2 linked regions of the Nothobranchius furzeri genome follow. Each later gene encodes a partner of the first gene's protein in a complex. Links are inferred from orthologs where the notes say so. Each region holds a gene or a part of one and is shown on either strand. Other genes may lie near its edges.

Region 1 (3,989 bases):
CTAAGACTGCGCTGAATGCGCGACCCTGTACATCACATACGGGGGGGCCGCCCAGCGACCTCCTTTTATCCCGTCTTGGTTTGAGAGGTGCCTGATGGCAGTATATTCTAGCTTCCGCTTTGCTAATATAAATGCCAAAATCTTCCCCAGGGTGCCGCGGCAAATCCCGTTTTGCAAACGCTACGGTCCTTTAAAAACAACTCGATTCCAGTCGGACCGCCAAGGAAGATGTCTGGCAAAAGTCACCTCAGAACAGAAAATGCACATATTGCCCAGATGTGAAACCAAAAAAGCTATCCAGCCCGTACCGTACCAAACCAGATATGGAAGCCGCATTTGTGAACAAAACCTGGCCACGCAGGAGGGGGAAGACGCTACCGAGATGAGACTGGGCGAGGACAGATGTGAAGGTGCCATAAATAATCCCTAGGTGTGAGTGAGTGTGTGACTGGTTTAGGGCTGAAACGATTCCTCGAATACCTCGAATAATTCGAGTACAAAAAATCCTCGAGTCAAATTCTCTGCCTCGAGGATTCGTTTAATTCATATTAATTCATGGCTTTGCAATCGCCCGGGGTCATGTTTCACCCGGACCGAAATAACACATGCACATGCCCACTGGGCTGAATGCACACGCGAGTAGCGAACGTAACTTAACTTTCTCTTAAGCCATGGCGGACAACGTAGACCCCGGTGGAGTTCTAAAAAGACACAAAATGTCAAAGGTGTGGGACCATTTTTCACGTCGTATGGTGGAAAACGTAGTCCAGTATAAATACTGTAAAATGGATTTAGCCTAGCACAACACCACATCCTCCGTGCTGCAGCACCTGTAAATGTCACTTCTGCAAGCGGACTCAGAGCCTCTACAAGATAATGCTTTTTAGCCTGTATTTCTATATATTCTGCAGATGCTGTGCGACTTTTTCGTTTGTAGCACTCAGTTTTAGCTCACACCATACATCTGGTAGCAACACGTCAAACTTAAAATGTGCTAAAAAATTGTTTTACACAACACGTCGGACTTTTTATTGTGTTATTGATGTCCGTTGTCCCTCGGGGTTTCTGCAGGAGGACACAGGTATTTATGAGTGGCGGAGGAAAACGAAAGAAAGTAAATAAATGTTTTGCGATCAGTATAATTTGACAAAACCACAGCAAACATGCTTTCTCGACAATCCTTGTTATTGTGTGAGAAAAAAAGTGTAGAAATTAAAACGGACGTGTGTTAATAGGGAAACAGCCGGCGAGCTGTTTGCGCATGCGCCGTGAGCGGTTCTGGTTCTGTTTGGGCCGCAGCCGCTCGCAGCGCTACTTCAACAGTTATCCTCTGGCTTGCAGGTTAGCAGATTCTCGCACGAGGGGAAAATCGGCTCAGGTTGTTTACTTATTTTTTGCACAGGCATTTGTTTACTGTGAAGTAAAGTTGAAGTGCTGAAGTTTTGAAAACTAATTTTGAATAAAACTTGAAGAATAACTGGCAATTGCTTGCTCATTTTAAGAGGTCTTTCATAATTATAACATGCTATTTGATATAATGGTTTACAAACACAAAAGGGTAATTTATTAGAGTACTCGATTAATCGAAAAAAAGATTCGATAAGAGTACTCGATTACAAAAATATTCGATAGCTGCAGCCCTAGACTGGTTGTCTCTCTGTAGTCCTGTCATGGACTGGAGATCTGTCCAGGGTGTTCCACTTGGTGACAGCTAGATCTCAGCTTCCCATAACCCTACTGAGGAATAAGTAACTCAGATAATTAGTATGTGTGAATAAGTGAGTTACTAATTAAAAACTGTTTACTTTTCCGAAATTTCTCAGTTTTGAAAAAAAATGAGGCAAAATTATGTCAACCGGCGAATAAAATACAAATGCCTACCATCATCTCCCAGTTTAGATGCATGGTCACTGATGAGCTCTTCTCCAACATCCACTATCTGTTCACTGTTCCTGCTGTTGTCTTCTCTCCATTTACGTAACTTGTCTCTCATCTCTGTGAAAAAAGCATCCAATCATAAGAAAGTTTTGGCAGCATCACAGTTCAGCATTTAAGCCTTTTATTCCTTAGTTCACATACATAATCTACTGTTTTTCTAAACACGCTCAGGTTTATTAGACAGCTAATAAAACTCATGCTAGCTGTAACCTTACTTCCGTGGAAAATAGCGTATCCGAAGTTAGTTTTGTCGGCTTTTGTTTCACAATAAAATAGTTAGATGCTCATTACACGACCTTAGAGCTTAGAAAACAAATAAGACCTGTAGTAAAAACTAATGTTATCCCCGTCCAAAGCTGTTTTTTGTCGCAGCATTATTGGCTAATTTCGTAACCCGTACCCGTTTACAATGTACTAGTAGTTATTACATCCCGTTCTTAATCAATTACTTGATAATTTACACTTTATTAACCGCTGTACTGTAACTCGTTATCAACTGGGTCGAGGAGAAGAATAACGCTGGTATTAACTACTGTCTGTCGCAAAAATGACAGGTTAGCTCACCAAGCTAACTAGCATTGGCTAAGTGCTACAAAGGCAGCCTTCTCATTTGAGCGTACTTCAACGGTGAGACAACGGAGACATTAACCCTAACCCTTACACGAAGAATCACTGAATGTCTGAAAAAAAATATCAAAACGTGCCACAGTCATGCACGAGAAGGATTGACCTTCTTACCTTCCCATCCCACATCGTACAATTCTGATACAGACGCCATGTTTTCCAGAGGACAGTGTGAGCATGCGTACGTCATACCTGTTGGATGAATGAGAGATGACCCGACTACTATTATGATATAAAGAACACAGGATTAAAAAGAAATTTAAATGTAGCAAAACCCTATTATTATTATTATTATTATTATTATTATTATTGTTATTATTATTCGTAATGGATTAAGTAGGTGATGAATTTGCAAAAACAAAAGTAAGAAATCCATCTACATTTGTTCCAACATCTTAGAAAGCAGCAGATGATGACGGTGGTGACGATAATGATGATGATGATGATGATGATGATGATGATGATGATGATGATAAAAAAATCACATGATCAAACATTATTAATAGCAGGTATTGAATGAGCATGAAATGTGTATTGGTAATATTTTCATAGTCATTAAGACTGAATACCCTTGATAATTATTCATTTTCTATTGACAGTACATTTTCTGCAGTATTTGCATTCAGAATTATTATAATTCACATATTTGGCCATATCACATAAATAATAAAAGTAATGTTACACATATTCTTGCCAAAACTCACCACAAATATGATTCCAATATACTGCAAACTTGAATTATGTAATTCAGGAAAAAGCACCAAATGGCCAGCAGAGCACTATTGATCTTGTGCTCCATTTTCATTGTTTTGATTTTTCATCAAAGTACTAAAAAGCACGGTCCGCTGACCCTAGAATTTTTTTTTTTCACAAAATATAAAATGCGCTTATTAAGCATATAGACCAGTTTATCCTGATTTCCCCCAGGACGCTGTGTGACTTGCTTACACATTTCTCCTATACCACATCACACACTTGTTGATGCAGCCACAGCATAAACTTGCTTACTAAGGACATCAGAGATGTAATGTCATACCCACTGCAGCTCATTGCACATAGCATACCACATGTTACATGCTTTGTTGATTTTCTCTTGTGAAAGGGCAACAAGGACAAGGAACAGCAGTATGCTAGAACAGTTTGATTTAATCAGGACTAGACAAGTGCACGCTCACAGGAGAAAGCTAAAATGTCATAATCTCTTTCTGGAATATAAACAGTAACAATGTGTACAGTTTAAGTTATGCTCGCTCTGGCAATGTGGGTCCTTGTAATTTTCAAGTCTGCACATGGCAGTCAGTAGATGTGTGGTTGAGTTTTTGCTGGAACACCAAATACCAAAGAAACCACATTAAAACAATCACACACTGTCCTCTGGGGTATAGGGCTTCCCTTGGCTGCCAAGGTGCCTGTGAGGGACTGGGCCT
Region 2 (4,041 bases), on another chromosome or scaffold:
CAAGCCACTTCTCCAAGTGGCCGCAAAAACCTCACCAAATGATGAAACTTCAGTCTCCAAAGAAGCGTTATTACTAGACCAACCTGTCTCAGTGGGTCAGTAAGTAACCTTATTTTACATATTTTATTTCTTCAATCTCATCTGAAACTATTTATCCCCACCCAGGTGCAGAAAAGTGGTGAGAGTGAACCTCCATGAGAACTTCCAAATAAAAACATGTAACTTAATAACTGGGTTTTGTAAAGTTTCGTTTCTTTTCTAACCTTTCTTGTAGTGTTTCAAGTGGACCATGATTTCTTGTCTCCCCTTAGTTGAAGAGTAACTGGAACATTCCATAAACTATGGGAACTGAAATATAACAGCAGTGATTCTGATTGGGTTGGATCAGGTATAGGTCTTTGGTTCCCAGCTTTAAATGGTCATTAGATTAAGAAGTGGTATCTGCTCTGCTCTGAGCCTGTCTATTCAGTTACATTAATAAAAGCAAACAGATCTAGATCTGCAGTTTACCTTTGACTTAACGCAAGAAAGTACAGTGAACTAAACCAGAAGGTAACTTTATTTTTGGCGGAACATGTTTCTGAACCATCAGGGTTTACCAGTGTGGGTTCAAATGCAAACGTGTTTAAACATTGGCTTTAAAGCATGGGGAAAATGGTCTTGCAGTAACAAAAGATTTGGGGCATATAAGCAAAATTATGTAGCACCTAAAGTTAAAACTCACGAGGTGCTTCACAAAGAAACTTAAAAAAAATTTAAGTTGAAATTGTAAGGGAAATCAGTGGATTGCAGGGGAAAATGACTATGTAAGGGCAGGATAAGGTAGTGACAAAGGGAATTAAAAGCCAGCTTGAACAGGGAATTCAGGAACTTTTAAAAGGATTCTACTGATCTCGGGCTCAGGAAAGGACCAGTCTGGTGGCCACAGCAGCGAATCTGTCACCTTTAGCCTGGTGAGCTGCACATCCAGTAGGTTTTGGTGTGCACTGGACCTCAGGGACCTGCTGGAGGTGTAGGGACTGAGACGTCCAGGGAACTCTACATTTTAATCGATGTGAAATTCCGTAAAGTTGAATCTGTCTCAAAACTGAGCAAAAATATTTTAGATTAAGTATATTTCCGTATTAAACCGCTATCTACCTCCTGTCCTTTAGAGGGCGCACGTGTCATTTAAGAGAACACGTTCTTCCCACCAATCACAGTTTAGACCCTGTCTAAGCCAATCAAAACGTTACAAATAATTTTCTGGGTGGAGCTAGTGACGGCCGTGTGGCTTTAGTCCGTTTGTGAGTAAATAACAGGCCTCGTACTGGCTTTGGTAAAGATTTAATAAACTCCCAGAGTTTGTGAAGGGTTACCATTTAGGTTTTGAACCTCTACTGTGAAACATTCCTCAGCAGGTAAGACCAGAGAGAGGTTTCTGTGCCTAGCTAGCCGGTATGCTAGCGACAGTAGCATCAGCAAACGCAGCCATGCAGGGACGTTTCCGGTCTGACTCGGAGCTGCCCACCACCACAGCTGTGAGCTGATGCTACTTCGACCCTGGCCTGGGTGTTACAGCTCCCGTTTCTCCTCCGCAGGGCCACTATGGGCGAGGTGGAGCTCTCCTGTCGGGCTTACGTGAAGATGTACTTGCACGCCTGCCTGTTTCCGCGCTGCAGCGTCAACGGGCTGCTGCTGTCCTCGTCCAGCTCGGCAGGTGGCGCTGTTTGTGTGACGGACTGCGTTCCGCTGCTGCACTCGCACCTGTCGCTGGCCCCCATCACGCAGCTGGCTCTCACACAGGTGTAGTGCACAGTTTGGTACCCCTTTGAGTCACTGTTTAAGTCTTCTCTGTTTTTCTGAACTTAAAGGTGTATTTTAATTATGTTGGCATGTTTCTGTATAAATGTTATAACTAATCCGTATCTTACCTGTTTAGTGATGACAGGCCTGATAGGCTAACGGCTAGGATAGCTTTTAAGAGACTAAAGCCAAAATAAAAGACTCAAATCCATAAAAACACATTAAAACGTACAACCTACTGGGTATTACTGAACACCAGGGAAAGCAGATGTTTTTATAAACTGGGCAGCTGTCGTCCTAACAGATCCAGATTAACCCTCTGGAGACAGGCGTTTCAGATTTGCAACGTTAAAACTTACCTACCTGGTTACTCCACACACGTATCTCATGAGTATTTTTGTAACTCAGAAGTACCCCTGAAGGACTTAGTTGTTCGTCCTTTTATTAAAACTTATTTAGAGCCTGAGAGGGTTAAAACCTAAAGCCATGTTTGTCTCAGCTTGCATCAAGTTGGACACAGGTGCAGCTATGTGTTTAAATGTGCAAAAACAAGGACATCTAATGCGAAGGTGGATCCTGTTTAATCAGGATTTATTTCTCCAGACTTCCTGGAGTCCCGCTCGATTCTCCAGGATGTTTTAAACTTCCACAGAACATTTCAAGCTTTTGTTTTTCCAGGTGGATGTTTGGTGTTCTCAGACTCAGCAGAGGATAGTCGGGTATTATCAGGCCAACGCCTGCACCTCAGACAGCAGGTGAGCTTCTCCACACCAGTCACATGGTCAGATACACCCCACCACCGCTCGCTAACGTGTTGCGTTTCCTGACAGCCCGACGCCGTGCGCGCTGAAGATCGCTGATAAGATCGCTGAGCAGTTTGATGGAGCCGTTTTATTAATGGTGAGAAAACGGATGAAACAGAACGTTTTTATTAAATGAGTCTTTCATGAATAATGAACCTTCTGCCCTCAGATTATGATCAGGTTTGTTTCCTCACAGCTCGACGGCAGCAAAATGTCTCCAGATTATCGAGTTCCTCCGATCGTCATGTACGAACGCAAAGATTCAAGATGGACGCTCAAAGACAAACACACGTAAGAATCAGCGGGGGGGTGGCCTGAGGTTCACCACCACCACTCGGGTAGTCTGTGGTTTAAACCAGGCTCACGTGAGCCGAGCACTAAACTTCATCACACCTGTATGACTAAACTCACGGAGTTGCCACCTTCTGATTGGCTGATCGGTTATTTGTGTACCTATCAAAGTGGCCGGCGCGTGTAACTGATGATCTCCGTGGGTCTGTTCAGGATCATGCTGCGGCAGTGGGAGGAGATCCGGGATGTCGCCAGCCAGATGCTGGATTCTGGTGACCACTCCCTCTTGGTAGACTTCGACAGCCACCTGGATGACATCACCAGGGACTGGACCAATCAGAAACTCAACAGCAAGATAGCAGAGCTTTGCTCTCCAGTTAATGGGAACATTTAGATGGGAACGCCGCATCATTCCGTGGTAAAACCTGCCTGTCGTGTTGTTCTGTAAAGGTGGATTTTCACAAGCGCAGAGTCCAGGACAGGATTTATTTGTGTTTGAACAAAGACAAACGTGCATAAATAATAGAATATTTACATCTCTCCCCTTTTTAAGGTGGATTAAATCCACCTTAAGAACTAAAGCTACTCCTCTTGTTTATTTCTGGTCCCGTTTTCCTGATTTATCATCTTGGAAAAGCAAAAACTCGAACGTAAAAGTCCTGCAGCGACAGATTAGACGAATTCAGCTGCTGGAGCTTTTTACTGTCGCATCAAACCTGCATGAAATTATTATTCCCTACAAATTTCCCCAGATTAAAGGATTATGTTTTAGCTTATGCTTGTATTTATTACTTATTTTTATTAGTGTGATCCTTAAAAACTCCTTGCGTGGTTTAAGAGTAAAAGTATTTGCTGCAGGACATTTAAGTCTCATTTAAACTCGACTGACCTTTCTGTAACAATCTGAACCTTTTATAATCTAGATTATAGTCTGAGCTCTAAGACGGTAAAAGTAATGCTGAAGTAATATCTGAGGCGAGTTTCACAGAAAATGTTTTATGTTGGAGCGCCGGTTTTAATGTTTCTTTTTTCAATGAACATTTTCAGATAAAATCAGTAAAAACTAAATTCTGAGGAGAAAAACGATCATTTCTAAAAGCTAATAAAAGAGAACTAAAGCATTTAACAACAATAAAACGTCATTTTCACTGCCCACGTGGTT

What was found. The genes of interacting proteins can lie anywhere in the genome.
Region 2: emc2 (region 1) and emc9 share a complex: the UniProt entries of both Homo sapiens proteins name them as parts of the ER membrane protein complex. The link is inferred for Nothobranchius furzeri from reciprocal best matches to the Homo sapiens genes EMC2 and EMC9.

Annotation. Positions count from the first base shown.
Region 1 is NC_091745.1:54,005,935-54,009,923, forward strand, and holds the start of emc2 (ER membrane protein complex subunit 2), read right to left. Parts: upstream 2,802-3,989; 5' UTR 2,753-2,801; coding exon 2,677-2,752; intron 1,996-2,676; coding exon 1,882-1,995; intron 1-1,881. UniProt on the Homo sapiens protein: Part of the endoplasmic reticulum membrane protein complex (EMC) that enables the energy-independent insertion into endoplasmic reticulum membranes of newly synthesized membrane proteins.
Region 2 is NC_091747.1:62,729,112-62,733,152, reverse strand, and holds emc9 (ER membrane protein complex subunit 9), read left to right. Parts: upstream 1-1,238; 5' UTR 1,239-1,400; intron 1,401-1,580; 5' UTR 1,581-1,587; coding exon 1,588-1,785; intron 1,786-2,463; coding exon 2,464-2,540; intron 2,541-2,615; coding exon 2,616-2,685; intron 2,686-2,784; coding exon 2,785-2,879; intron 2,880-3,092; coding exon 3,093-3,273; 3' UTR 3,274-4,032; downstream 4,033-4,041. Other genes in the region: uncharacterized protein, read left to right, coding at 1-77. UniProt on the Homo sapiens protein: Part of the endoplasmic reticulum membrane protein complex (EMC) that enables the energy-independent insertion into endoplasmic reticulum membranes of newly synthesized membrane proteins.